Arabidopsis thaliana: one gene and its partner. The protein of the gene in region 2 interacts with the protein of the main gene of each other region in a pairwise test. Each region holds a gene or a part of one and is shown on either strand. Other genes may lie near its edges.

The links. Proteins that work in one complex are often made in the same cells at the same time.
Region 1: the proteins of bZIP43 (region 2) and NF-YA8 interact in a two-hybrid assay, tested with the Arabidopsis thaliana proteins (one large-scale study listed by BioGRID).

The regions. Positions count from the first base shown.
Region 1 is NC_003070.9:6,048,446-6,056,747, reverse strand, and holds NF-YA8 (nuclear factor Y, subunit A8), read left to right. Parts: upstream 1-4,119; 5' UTR 4,120-4,344; exon of another isoform or gene 4,345-4,695; 5' UTR 4,696-4,763; coding exon 4,764-5,046; intron 5,047-5,196; coding exon 5,197-5,297; intron 5,298-5,378; coding exon 5,379-5,453; intron 5,454-5,660; coding exon 5,661-5,816; intron 5,817-5,895; coding exon 5,896-6,267; 3' UTR 6,268-6,584; downstream 6,585-8,302. Other genes in the region: AT1G17600 (Disease resistance protein (TIR-NBS-LRR class) family), read left to right, coding at 176-639, 739-1,840, 1,941-2,243, 2,368-3,459, 3,534-3,722; MYA1 (myosin 1), read right to left, coding at 7,439-7,562, 7,663-7,745, 7,911-7,991, 8,070-8,183, 8,262-8,302. UniProt on the Arabidopsis thaliana protein: Stimulates the transcription of various genes by recognizing and binding to a CCAAT motif in promoters.
Region 2 is NC_003076.8:15,535,601-15,542,243, forward strand, and holds bZIP43 (basic leucine-zipper 43), read right to left. Parts: upstream 3,290-6,643; 5' UTR 3,203-3,289; coding exon 2,705-3,202; 3' UTR 2,541-2,704; downstream 1-2,540. Other genes in the region: AT5G38810 (F-box and associated interaction domains-containing protein), read right to left, coding at 5,006-5,490, 5,622-5,940. UniProt on the Arabidopsis thaliana protein: Probable transcription factor involved in somatic embryogenesis. Acts as a positive regulator of BHLH109.

The DNA.
Region 1 (8,302 bases), on a different chromosome or scaffold from region 2:
TAAAGCTGTAAAGTCCGTCAACCACTAGATTTAAATGAGCACAAAAGTTCCACATTTTCCTACTTGTGCAATTTCCCCGAAAAGAAAAGAAGATGATGTTGTTCAACAAGTCGTCCTTAATGCATAAAACTCCAGAGAACAAACCTTTTAGACGACCTTGATTGATTTTTCAACAATGGTGTCCTCCTCTGCACCTCGTGTATCGAAGTACGACGTCTTCCTCAGCTTCCGTGGAGAAGACACCCGCAAAACCATCGTCAGTCATTTATATGCAGCACTTGATAGCAGAGGCATTGTTACTTTCAAAGATGACCAAAGGCTTGAGATAGGCGATCACATTTCCGATGAACTCCACAGAGCACTAGGGAGTTCGAGTTTCGCTGTTGTTGTTCTCTCCGAGAACTACGCTACTTCGAGATGGTGCTTATTGGAACTTCAACTGATAATGGAGCTTATGAAGGAGGGAAGACTTGAAGTCTTTCCCATCTTCTATGGAGTAGATCCTTCCGTGGTGAGGCATCAGCTAGGAAGTTTCTCTTTAGTAAAGTACCAAGGTCTTGAAATGGTGGATAAGGTTCTCAGGTGGAGAGAAGCTCTTAACCTAATCGCCAATCTTTCAGGCGTGGTTTCAAGCCACTGGTAAGCCTCGTTTTCTTGTTTACACACATTTATCACTTTGTTTAGCAGCACACTGGAAAGTTGAATTATAATTTTCCTGCTCAATTTCAATATTATTAGTGTTGATGAGGCTATAATGGTTGGAGAAATTGCTAGAGATATTTCAAGACGTGTGACATTGATGCATAAAATAGACTCTGGAAATATTGTTGGGATGAAAGCTCACATGGAAGGTCTTAATCATCTCTTGGATCAGGAATCCAATGAGGTTCTCCTGGTAGGAATCTGGGGAATGGGAGGAATTGGGAAAACCTCCATTGTTAAGTGTCTCTATGACCAGCTCTCACCTAAATTTCCAGCTCATTGTTTCATAGAAAACATTAAGAGTGTTAGTAAAGACAATGGCCATGATCTAAAGCATTTGCAAAAAGAATTGCTCTCCAGTATCCTCTGTGATGATATTAGGTTATGGAGCGTGGAAGCTGGATGCCAAGAGATAAAAAAGAGACTTGGGAATCAAAAGGTTTTTCTTGTGCTTGATGGTGTGGATAAAGTGGCGCAGGTGCATGCTTTGGCAAAAGAGAAAAACTGGTTTGGTCCTGGGAGCCGAATTATCATAACCACTCGAGATATGGGCTTGCTCAATACCTGTGGAGTAGAAGTCGTTTATGAGGTTAAGTGCTTGGATGATAAGGATGCCCTCCAGATGTTTAAACAGATTGCTTTTGAAGGAGGACTTCCTCCTTGTGAGGGTTTTGACCAACTCTCAATCCGAGCTTCTAAGCTTGCTCACGGGCTTCCTTCTGCCATTCAAGCCTATGCATTATTTCTCCGTGGAAGGACAGCGAGTCCTGAGGAGTGGGAAGAAGCACTGGGTGCACTTGAAAGCAGTCTTGACGAGAATATAATGGAAATCTTGAAAATTAGCTACGAGGGCTTACCAAAACCACATCAGAATGTATTCCTTCATGTTGTCTGTCTCTTCAATGGAGACACTCTCCAGCGAATCACTTCCCTTCTTCATGGCCCCATACCTCAGAGCAGCCTGTGGATAAGAGTTTTAGCAGAGAAATCTCTCATCAAAATATCAACTAATGGATCTGTTATCATGCACAAGTTGGTCGAACAAATGGGAAGAGAAATTATCCGCGACGACATGTCTTTGGCTCGAAAGTTCCTCAGGGATCCTATGGAAATTCGCGTTGCCCTGGCTTTCAGAGACGTAAGCATCTATATCATCTTTGATCTATTCTTTTAAATTTTCATGCATCCTGACCTGACGAGTTTCTGGCTTTGTGTTTCTTTTGTCTTCTTATCATCAGGGAGGAGAACAAACTGAATGCATGTGCCTACACACGTGTGATATGACCTGTGTGTTATCCATGGAGGCCAGTGTTGTTGGCCGTATGCATAATCTCAAGTTTCTCAAGGTTTACAAGCATGTAGATTACAGAGAGTCGAATCTGCAACTCATTCCAGACCAACCGTTCCTGCCTCGTAGCCTACGGCTATTCCATTGGGATGCATTTCCATTGAGAGCCCTGCCTTCCGGTTCTGATCCATGTTTTCTTGTTGAACTCAATCTGCGTCACAGTGATTTAGAAACTCTCTGGAGTGGAACACCGGTAATCTTTTCTATGATTCTGCATCTTGTGTTTGTGTTTTTGATAGAGCAATGGTGTGAAAACAGAGAATCCTTGCGAGAAACATAATTCCAACTATTTCCATGTGTTGTTGTATCTTGCTCAGATGTTGAAGAGTTTGAAGAGACTAGATGTGACGGGATCTAAGCATCTCAAGCAACTTCCAGATCTTTCAAGTATCACGAGTCTTGAGGAATTGCTTCTGGAACAATGCACGAGACTGGAGGGCATTCCAGAGTGTATTGGAAAAAGGTCTACCTTAAAGAAGCTTAAGCTATCCTACCGTGGAGGGCGTAGAAGTGCCCTGCGGTTTTTTCTACGAAAATCTACAAGGCAGCAACATATTGGATTGGAGTTCCCAGACGCAAAAGTGAAAATGGATGCACTTATAAACATATCGATTGGGGGAGACATTACTTTTGAGTTTCGTTCAAAATTTAGAGGATATGCTGAATACGTCTCTTTTAATTCTGAGCAACAGATACCCATTATATCGGCGATGAGTCTGCAACAAGCACCTTGGGTCATCTCAGAGTGCAACAGATTCAATTCCCTCCGCATCATGAGGTTCAGCCACAAAGAAAACGGTGAATCTTTCTCCTTTGACGTCTTTCCAGATTTTCCCGACCTGAAAGAGCTAAAACTAGTGAACTTAAACATCAGGAAAATCCCATCTGGGATTTGTCACCTGGATTTACTAGAGAAGCTGGACCTCAGCGGAAATGATTTTGAGAACTTACCAGAAGCTATGAGTAGCCTTTCCCGGTTAAAAACTCTCTGGCTTCAAAACTGCTTTAAGCTCCAGGAGTTGCCAAAGCTAACTCAGGTGCAGACACTTACACTTACCAACTGTAGGAACCTTAGATCATTGGCGAAACTATCTAACACAAGTCAAGATGAGGGAAGATACTGTTTGCTTGAGCTTTGCCTTGAAAATTGCAAGAGTGTTGAATCATTGTCAGATCAGCTTAGTCATTTCACCAAGTTGACATGTTTAGATCTCAGCAACCATGATTTTGAGACATTGCCATCAAGCATCAGAGATCTTACCTCATTGGTAACACTTTGCCTCAATAACTGCAAGAAACTCAAATCGGTGGAAAAACTTCCCTTGTCTCTCCAATTTCTCGATGCACACGGCTGTGATTCTCTCGAAGCTGGTTCTGCAGAACATTTTGAGGACATACCAAACAAGGAGGTGAATACTTGGCTCTTGATCCGTCTCTACTATGATTGATGTAGTTACCCTTTATCATCTCCCTTCTTTTATAGGCACATACACGAAATGACTACTTCCAAGAAACTGAGATGTCGAGTTATGTACTGAAAACTCAAGCCACAAGAAATCGCCAAACCATCCGCCTTCCCAAGATCACACATGCGGTTATGTATGTAGGCATCCCTATCTGCATCACGCTAGTGGCTGCTCTTGTGATTTTACTCCTGCGTGTTTTCAAGTGAAACTCAAGACTCAGCAACAGCTTCCTCAAGACTTAAACTGTGTGCTTTCTTCTGTAATTTACCAGGTAGTAACAAACTTACTACATTTCAAGTCTCCCTTGCTTCTGCTTCTCTCTCTCTTTTCCACTCGCATTTTGGAACTGAGTTCCACTATATCCAAAGAACGCTTCAAGATTTTGTCCATAAACACAAAGAGTAGGCAGATTAGCTTTGCTTTAGATGCTTCAGCTGCCATATAGTTGCTCACTAGATTAGGCTTTTGACGATAGTTTTACTTTGTAAAGTGGATAGGCAGATAACTAGATAAGTGTTTACTTTGTTAAGTGAACAAAATAATAAGTCAATAAGATTAGAAAACTAATATATTAATTAAGCATTAAAAATACTAATGAAGGTGGCGGTACTGCTAATAATGGAGCTGGTGATTTTGTTGGAAAGGTAATGACTTTATAAGAGAGAAAATTGTGAGTGACGGAAATGAAGCATCAAAAGAATACACACACACACATACACACTGTTGAGTATCTATCTGAGAGAATAAGCAAAAGAGAAAAGAGATTTACTTTGTTTTGATAGGCATCCCTTGAGTTCCTGTTCTTCATCTCTTCCTTGAATCCGTAAGGTCTCTCTATCTCCTTCTCTTTGAATCCGTCATTTCTTCGCTTTTTTTTAGAGTGATGTGCTGATTCGGAAATCTTCTGGAAATTTCTTCCCAAGTCAACGCCTTTTAGGACGAAAGTAATGGTGCTGATTTTAGTTGGTCGGAACTTTACTTTTTTTTCTGCCGCGCTCTTCTAATAGTTTGCCCGAAATAGTTCTGAATGTTGCTCTGTTTCTGGGTTTTTTTCCCTTTTTGGATTATCCCCTTCTTTGTCTACTACATCGTCAAAGGTTTTGCTGTTTCCAGGAATAAATATCTTTTGAAAGTTTTATCATTTATAAAGATGTTCTGAATTTGGAGCTTCTTTGACAGACACATGTATCATCAATCTTCTCTGTTGAAGCAGAGAGAGAGAGAGCTAATTGTTGCCTCTGAGTCACATGGATAAGAAAGTTTCATTTACTAGCTCTGTGGCACATTCAACTCCACCATACCTTAGTACTTCCATCTCATGGGGACTTCCAACCAAATCCAATGGTGTGACTGAATCACTGAGTTTGAAGGTGGTAGATGCAAGACCAGAACGTCTTATAAACACAAAGAATATCAGTTTCCAGGACCAGGATTCATCTTCAACTCTGTCCTCTGCTCAATCTTCTAACGATGTTACAAGTAGTGGAGATGATAACCCCTCAAGACAAATCTCATTTTTAGCACATTCAGGTCCGTTTTAAACAACTTTGGGTTCTAGACAACTCACTATGATCTATTATGTTGAAGACGCATGGTGTTTTAGCTTGATCTTTGGTCCCATTTACGAAAGAATCCATCCCTTTGTCCTGAAAATGTTATCTTTCGCTCTCTTTCTTTCAGATGTTTGTAAAGGATTTGAAGAAACTCAAAGGAAGCGATTTGCAATTAAATCAGGCTCCTCCACGGCAGGAATCGCTGATATTCACTCTTCTCCTTCCAAGGTACCCGTATATCTACTACGAGTGACGATAAGCAGTACTTGTGATTGTTTACTGACATCTTGTGTTATACTCTGGTTTCAGGCTAACTTCTCATTTCACTATGCCGATCCACATTTTGGTGGTTTAATGCCTGCGGCTTACCTACCACAGGCAACAGTAAGTATATCCTCCTTGATTACATATGGTGAGGAGAATATTTATGCTAAACCTCATTTTTACTTAAGGTGGACTTGTTATGTAACATTATGCTCTGAAGTAGTTACATATACAGCTATAGAAAGAAATGCCATCCTTAAATGGTGAATTAGTCTTGCAATTTATTTCTCCATTTGAGATTTCAGTTTGCTTAAAAACTTTCTGCAGATATGGAATCCCCAAATGACTCGAGTTCCGCTACCATTCGATCTCATAGAGAATGAGCCTGTCTTTGTCAATGCAAAGCAATTCCATGCAATTATGAGGAGGAGGCAACAGCGTGCTAAGCTAGAGGCGCAAAACAAACTAATCAAAGCCCGTAAGGTATAGTATTTTGGTCAGCGTTTCGGTATCTTACTTTGGTTTAATGACTAAACATAACTCATTATCAAATATCATACAGCCGTATCTTCATGAATCTCGACATGTTCACGCTCTTAAACGACCTAGAGGATCTGGTGGAAGATTCCTAAACACCAAAAAGCTTCAAGAATCTACAGATCCAAAACAAGACATGCCAATCCAACAGCAACACGCAACGGGAAACATGTCAAGATTTGTGCTTTATCAGTTGCAGAACAGCAATGACTGTGATTGTTCAACCACTTCTCGCTCTGACATCACATCTGCTTCTGACAGCGTTAATCTCTTTGGACACTCTGAATTTCTGATATCAGATTGCCCATCTCAGACAAACCCAACAATGTATGTTCATGGTCAATCAAATGACATGCATGGAGGTAGGAACACACACCATTTCTCTGTCCATATCTGAGCCGGTGGAATCTGGTAATGTGTACGTTCCTACAAAAAAAGGGAAGTCATCCTTGGCTGCTACTTCGCTTATTAGCTAGTTCTTATTTCACACGCTTTGTCCAGATATCATTTGAATGACCAAAAACCTTCAAGCTTCAACTCTTTACTTTTCGTCTGTCGTTTGTACCATGGATCATCGTGTGTTAAGTCAGTGATTGGATTGGAGTGATGAATGTAAATGTAAATCTGATAACCGATAAGTCTCTGCTCTTTGCTTATTCATAGTTAGTAAAGCTAAACCAGATTCATACACTCCATTCCGGTGTTGTTTATATCATATATCATAGTCATAGAACACATTGACTAGAAGCGCAGCTTGGTCCCAATCCTCTGTAACAAGCCGTCCAACCACCTTCCCCGACCAAGTTTCTAACCGTCTGTAGATAGTCAGACTGCAGTTCCTATCGTTACTACTACTACTATTACTATCTTCCACATTTAGAACCTGCAGTCTAGTCTTTAATTATGTCACTGTAATCAAAGCGGAGACACTACCAGCAATGGCGGCAGTAACACCTTGAACAAATGTTCCCTAAACGCTTTTCTGTCTGAGTACCCCCGAGTTACAATCACTAGCAGTGTATTTATACACAAAGGGAATATCTCTTAACACAGATATGTTTCCAAAAACATACAAACATAACTAAAGACTAGACTGTAAAGGATGACGGGAAATTGCAATGTTTCTTTTGCAACACGTTTTCACCACGTGTCGATGTTGTTGACACATTAACTAACGCAAGAGTTATCCTTCTTTTGATCTTTTCCTTGATGTAATACTTTGGGCTTCAATTTTGGGCTTCAACTTTGGCCTTGTAAACTTGTTTGGATCAGTCAATAAAGAACAATAGTGACAAAAAAAAAAACTAATAATTTGAAAAATGATAAACAAAGTAAAATTCATTAAGCAAATGGCCTATCAACGCATGGACACAACAAATATTTAGTTCACATATATATATTTTTTCCTACCCAATATACCCCTATTAATAGTAGAACAGTACCAGAAAGCCACTGGCAAAGATAGGCATATGTACTAATGTACAGGCTTTGTTTTTGAAAGCACAATACTGATCTCCTAATCTGAAAATGTCCTAGCGATCGATCGGGTATAGGGAACTTTGACTACTTCAATCTGACCTTTCCAACAAGAACATGAAGTTGGAGTTTTGGCGGATCAACGGAGGAGGATCAACCTCTGCAACCTCTACGTTTTGCATCGATTTGGAGATATCGTCAAGCGAGAATGGGATGCTGCAAAAAGCAATCAAACCAAGACACATAATTTTTTTTATCAAAATATCAATCTTCTAAAAAGTGATTTGTTTTGTTAATGTTTCTTTCAAGGGTTTACCTCGAATCGTCGTCTAGTAAAAATGAATTGCTGATCGCGCTCTTTGATACATCTGACACCTCTGCCCGCATGGTTGCTATCACCTGCATCACCATTCTTGTGTCAAGCGAGGAACATTTTTATTTCAATTCTAGGTAATGTTGGATTTTCTTAAAACATAGCTCAGGATAAGACTAATGTTAACGGTTTGGTCGAGTGGGTCCATCAATCACACGAATGTGAAAGCAAGAGTAGAAATATTCACTTGCCTCTGTAGATACGCTATGTGTACCGTATTTGTCGTCCCAATACATTGTACTGATCCTATACAGTTGCTGAATGCTAAGCACCTGCAGAGAAATACAAAATTTCGTTAGATTTACATGAGACGAACAAATGAAGAGACAAATTCAAAACGTTGAACTAACCGGACAAAGTTCAGTAGTTATCTCTTTTAAGCTCTTCTTAGGCTTCTGATGTATAACCAAGAAGCCAACAGCTTGTCTAATGTGCTTTAGTTCATCCCAAGCCGAACCAACAAACTAGAACACAACAAAAAAAGCATCTTCTAATAAGCTAACTGTCCGAAAACTCCAGAGAGGATTTGAAACATCTATTACCTCCTCCGTTGCATCATGGCACCACTTTTCCAGCTCAGCAA
Region 2 (6,643 bases):
TTATAAGGTAATGACATAATAACTCTAAAAGCAAGGATTTAGAAGATTTAAATCTTTAGTTAAATATTTTTATTAATAAATAATTAATGTCAGTGACATGACATTGTAAATAAGTTCAAATACAAAATTTATTTATTTAAACAAAAAACGTTTAGTAAGAATAATATTTATTTAACAAAAAACTTTGTTTTAAAATATTGTTAACAAATATGTTTATGCTAATTTTAAGGGATTGATTTGAAGTTTGGTGGGATTAAATTTGATTGATAATGTGATTGACAATTTAAATCAAAAATTTAAAGTAAAATTAATTATTTTGAAAAAAAGATTTAATGCTAATGGCATTAGATTGTAAATAAGTCCAAGTCCAGGATTTATTTGCTAAAATGGCTGCAAAAATGTATATATAGATATATATATTTTGATTTAAGAGATTCTGGGGCGAATCTTGTAATTTTAGTTTCATCTCAAACGTCACTAGAACCGGCGATCTCTAGGCGAATAGGGTCTTTACCAATTGAGCTAACGACACTTGGTCTTGAGTTCAATATTACGTAAACTTTACCGAAAATTTTATTTTGGAGAAATCTGAGTCTACGCATATGACGAATGCTAATGTTTAAAGAGAGATTTCGTGCATATTTGTCCAAAGATAGATGCAACTTGATCACAAATACGTGTTGATTTTCATTCTAATGAGGAAACAATTTGGGTTTGGTTTTAGAGAATTAAAAATTGGGCATTATTTAATTCACTGAATTATTGGAAGTATATTAATTTTGTGTGTAAAGTTTACCCCATTGTGAACTATCGAGTTTACCCGCATGTTTCATATATTTAAGGGTATGGATAATGAGTTGTGAAGAAAGATGCATATGCTTATGCCATACATGCTATGGTTTTGTAGTTCTACTAGTCACCAAACTTTGGATTAAAGGGATATATCTCCTGGATCTACAAATTCTTCTAACAAAATAATATACCATCTCTTTGTTACCGAAATATAAGTTGATTTAATTACATTTATATTAAGGTGGAATTTTAAGTCTATGCATCAAGCTAGTCATGATAAAACTTCATCCCACTGGTATTATAGATTTTCAACTCTAAAATCAATTGGTAGTTAGTGTATTTGTCGATGTATTTTATATATTATTTTAATTCCTTCTAGCTTTTGATGTGAAATCCTAACGGACCCTTCTAATAAATTAGATTTCACTGGATCCAAAATCAAAATGAATTAGAACTAGTAATGAGTTCTTTGAATATTAGTTAAGATCTCTTATACATTATTTAAGGGCTTTTTAAAAGATGATATAGGATCCTACCATTTCCAAAGACCAATGAACCAATCATCGAACGAAAACGAAGCGAGGAAAAGAAATAAAACAAACATACTTGTCTCAACTAAAGAAGTTACTTTAGTAACATATATAGACTACAGAGACTACTTTAGCTCACACACGCACAAACCTATATATAGGCTGAGATTGTGATGTATATTTATACAATAATCAAAGTGAAAAAGAAAAGAAAAAAGATGGATCGATGATTTTGAGAACTGGGACCAAACTGTTATTATTTTGACTTACCAAAAAAACAAAAACTTATGTCATTTGTTCCTGTCCTGACCATAAAGTGTTGTGTGTTATATTGAATTGTATTTCCAGCTTTTGAGGTGGTTTAGAAAAGCTGTCTCTATTTCTTTCTTCGGCTTTCAATCGCAAGTGTCTCTTTCAGTCTTCCACTTACATTATGTTATGTGATTTTAGTGGCTAAGCTCTTTGTTTTCTTGGCCGGTAAGTTTCTCACCCACACGAATTCGAAGAAAAAGCCGTTTGTTTTCTTGACTGGAAAGGGGTCTCCTTTTACGTAAGATTGTTTGTTTGTCTTCTTGTCTGAGATTGATGTAAGCTTGATTTAACATTTTATCCAAGTTATAGGTTTACTTATGCCGCTGAACAGATTTACCAATAATCAATAGTGTAATTTAGGTTTTTAAAAAATAGCATTAACTGCTTTCTAAGCCAAATCTTGCAAAACCTCAGTCCATGCACTACCAATACAAGGTACTAAAATAAAATAAAATACAAGGTACTAAAATACTACAGATAAAAGCTCTTCTTTGCTTGACATAATTAGATTTACGAGAGTTTCACACACAAGTACACAACCATGTAAGGTCTTAATTGTTTTTGTTTGCGTTAGATTTACGTATTTGCTTTTCATATTCTTATTATTTTAATCACAATCTTAATTCTTTTCTTAATAATTTTTCAACATAAAAATGCAAATGGAAATGGAAGAAAATAAACCGTTTACGGCTGGTGTATATTTTTTTCAAAGACACTACTTAAGCCAATTTAGAAAGAACAAAATTGGTCATTATAAACGTAAAATTTTAAAGAGAAAAAGAAGAAAGTCTACTGTTAGTAATTGATGCTTGTATTTACATTTTGCAAAAATATTTATGCATGTAATTTTTTTTAAAATTATACTTCAGCAATGTGAATTTTTATCGTTTGTTATGCAAACAATTGTGAAACAATTTCTTACTTCTATTCACGGGCAACACAAGTTTGAAGAACTCTGCTTTAACAATTACTAATTTAGAGTCTTAATTAAATCTTAAGCTGAGACAGATCTCTGGATATACATTTGTTGATACATACTAGAGCCCCAAAAAAATAAAAATAAAAATCATCTATACAACGTCGTCGTCGTCTCTGATGCAAGAGAAAGGACTCTGATTCTGAAGCTGCATATCACTAATCATTTGCTTAAGCTCAGTGGTTTCCTCTTTGAGCTGAACATTCTCTTCAATAACCTTCTCTTGAGACTCTAAAACGCAGTTAAGCTTACGAAGCAGCTGATGATTCTCATCCCTAAGCCACATCACCTGTGACCAAAGCTCATCCACTTGTCTCTGCTTCCTCATACGCGATCTTCTTGCCGATTCTCTGTTAGATATCTTCCTCTTTTGCTTCCTCTCATTTATTATCTCCTTATGATTCTCTTCTGCTTCATCTGAGGTCGAGTTGTTGCTGCTGATCAAACTCATGAACTGTGAAGTGTTCACGCCAGTTTCGAAGCTGAAGAATGGATTAGGGTTTTGTCCGCAAAATGGTGAGGATGTAGGAATATGGGAAAGGTACGAAGGTGGACAACCATGGAGGCTAAAAATGTTGGTGGATGGTTGCATTATCGGTGGAGACTTGGGACGCAAGGTAGGGTTTACTCTTAGGTGATGGAAGAAAAGAAAGATTGTAGGATTTAGGGAATTGTGATGAATGTTTGGTGTGTGTGGTGAGAAGAGGTGTTCATATAGACTAGTAGGGGGACAATTGTGGACCATGGTTTCTTCATTTGGGTCAAACCAATATAAAAGCATCTAACAATCATGCAGCTAAAACGTGTATTTATATAACTTTATTTATTATTTAAAAACACGATCTATTTTTTCACCTATAAAATTATTGAACTACTTAGAACGAAATCTAAATAACTTATTTTTTAAAGCCTGTCTAAGATTTATTAGAAGTTGGTTGAAGTCTTAGGGTGAAAAATGGCTTTGTAAATGAATGATTGGGATTAATTGAGTTTTTCTTTTCTTTCAATGGCTAGGAAACAAATTGTTTTTTTTTTGTTGTGTGGAAATTTCAAATATCTTTCAACTTATTTTTTAAAACCTATCTAAAATTTATGAGAACTTGGTTGAATTTTTGGGGTGGAAAATGGTTGTGTGTAAATGAATGACTGGGAATAATTGAGATTTTTCTTTCTCTCAATGGCTAGGAAACAAATTTGTGTTTTTTTTTTTGGAAATTTAAAATAACTTTCAACTTATTTTTCTGCAAAATAGTAGATAAATAAATTGAACAAACTACTTTTATAATTTGGTCAATTTTTTTCAATTTTGAGTTGAATGAATTAAATCATTTTTTAATAATTTATTCATCTTAAATAGTAAACGTTTGGAGAAATTTCAAAATGTCCATTTTCTAATACCGTACCACCACTTTTTGAAAATGACTTCTATCTAAAATCTTTTAAATATTTTATTATATTAAGCTTGGTTTAATATATATACATGTAAAATTACACATTTAGAAAAAAGTAATTAAAGCATATAATATTTTATAGAAGTGTCGGATTGACACATATAGCAATCATGCGTAATTCTTCATTTTCGTCGTATTTTGCTAAAAGTTCGACCTATGTAATTAGATTCTGTTAGGGGAAGGGTGGTGATTTTGAAATTTAACCTTTTGAAACCCAAGAAACATATGGGCTTTTATAACCATCCAAATTTATATTATCTTTAATTTTTTTTTAGTGTTGTTAGAAAAAAAAAAAAATATTACGTGATGGACTTAATTAGTACTAGAGGAAAGCATCTCATCAAGAAGAACAGAAGAAGCATAAACAGACCTATGAATGAGACCTTGAAAAGGTTGAGAGAAAACAAATTTAAGAAGCTAAGTGTCCAATTCTTTTGCATATTTGATGTGTTCGTTTAGTTTTAATAAAGCATAAATCTTTGTTCATAAGATCTCAACAGAAAATGAACTACAAATCTCTAATCAATCTACAGTGGTATTCATATCACATGACTTTCTTGTTTTAACATCAATTCTGACAATTCAACTATTCAATCATTGACCACATCGGTTTCTTAACAATCAAGTTATTGGATATAGAGAGCCCTCTTCACCTAGGTAAAACCTCATAGGCCTTTTGATAACCATACAAAAAAATATTAGTTTGCTCTCACTCTACGCCAACAGGGTGATAAAGCTCACACGTAAGTAACCTGTAAATGACAAGTAACACTCTTAACCAAAATAGCTTGACTCGTTGGCTTGGCTTTCAAGATAAGATCCTCACTCTGAGTTACCTAGTAAATCGTACTTGTTCTGCAGGAGGATTGCCTGCTTGTTCTTTACATGTCGACGTTGTTGTGGTTTTGACTTGAGTTGCTTCGAATCGTCAATACTAAGATCCTCTATATAGTCAAAGGCAAAAACATTGCGAAAATATTGTCGTTTCTAATCCGATTGACCTTAATCTTCGGCAAGGAGTAGATATACTGTGACCATTCCTGTTTCTCAACATCCTCTAGAACCCACACACACAACTCACGGGGATGTCCATCACCAGCATCACACTCCAATTTAGTCACACCTAATTTACCCTTGTAGTTTATAAATTCTCTATGAAAATTAGAGAAGTCTTTTCCATCAAGAAACTTGAATTTCTCAGACCTAACATTAAAGGAAACTACTAGAAAACACGATGTCCTAGCAAAGTAATACAAAACCCCATTGATGGATAAGGCTCTACCATAATAAGGTTCATGGGTTAAGGGACATATCATCTTCCTCCACTTCAAATTTTCAGTTCCTAATGTCAGAATATAATGAACCCATTCTTTATTGAGTCTCTTGTTCATGCACAAAACCTTATGTTGCTTGCCAATCGGATCAAACCCTAAAAAGCTTCTTGACGTTTTGTAGCCATTTGTTCAGGTAAGCTAACATAGCGTCCTGTGATAGGGTTAAATATCACACAAACTGAAGCCTTTGAGGTCCAAATATCATGGACAGGGATATGGAACAAACCAGAGACATAGCTACACATGTATAGGTTCATGTCTTCATGGAACTTCATATGATTATGAAAATCTACTTCAAGGGACGGATTCTGAGACTGAGGCGAAGAGTAGAATATCAAACCACTTGCTTTTAAGACCGCAAATAAAAGACGTGGACGAGCGGATGACTTCGTTATGAACAACTCGGTGAAATCTTGACGGTAAAGTATGGACGCCCATAGCTTCGACACGCAACGACACCGAGCGATTGACTTTGAAGACAATCTCAATGCTATCTCCACAAAGAGATCATCTGGAATGGAATCAAAAGTTTTTCTACTTTCCATGATCAGACGGAGAAAGATCTTTGAGAATAAAAATCTCACAGGCTCACTCTACAAATAGATTTGGAATAAATCTCTTAAGAGGTCGACCTAATTAATTAGATGATGTTAATTAATCTTAGGGAGGTGGTGGTGAATTTGAATCCTATTAGGATCGATCGGCACTAATTAACCTAAGGCCCAAAAAATATGGGCTTTTTAACCATCCAAATCTTGCTTTTTTGAAGACCCTAACATATAGTATTTCACAAGAAGTCAATCAAGAAAGGACATGATACTTCATTTTTGGTCACGCTGCTTCGCTGCGTGACTCACGCACATGTTAACTTATACCTAACATATATTTCCCAAGAAGTCAATTAAGAAGGACATGATACTTCGTTTTTGGTCACGCTGCGTGACTCACGCACATGTTAACTTATATACCTAACATAGTATTGCCACTCATTCATGAATTTTTTTTTGAATGAAATTATGATATGATACTGTGAACGTGTTTTTTCTTATTCTATTCATGATTTTTTTTTTGAATGAAATTATAATATGATTCTGTGAACGTGTTTTTTCTTATTCTATGCATGCTTACGTTGTACGTAGTGTTGGCTAAATGATTTGAGGGGACATCACTTTAGGTTTTAGTCACAAAATCTTTTAATTAGAAAAAATAAACCAAAATGATCCCTCACGTATAAAATATCTAAGTCTG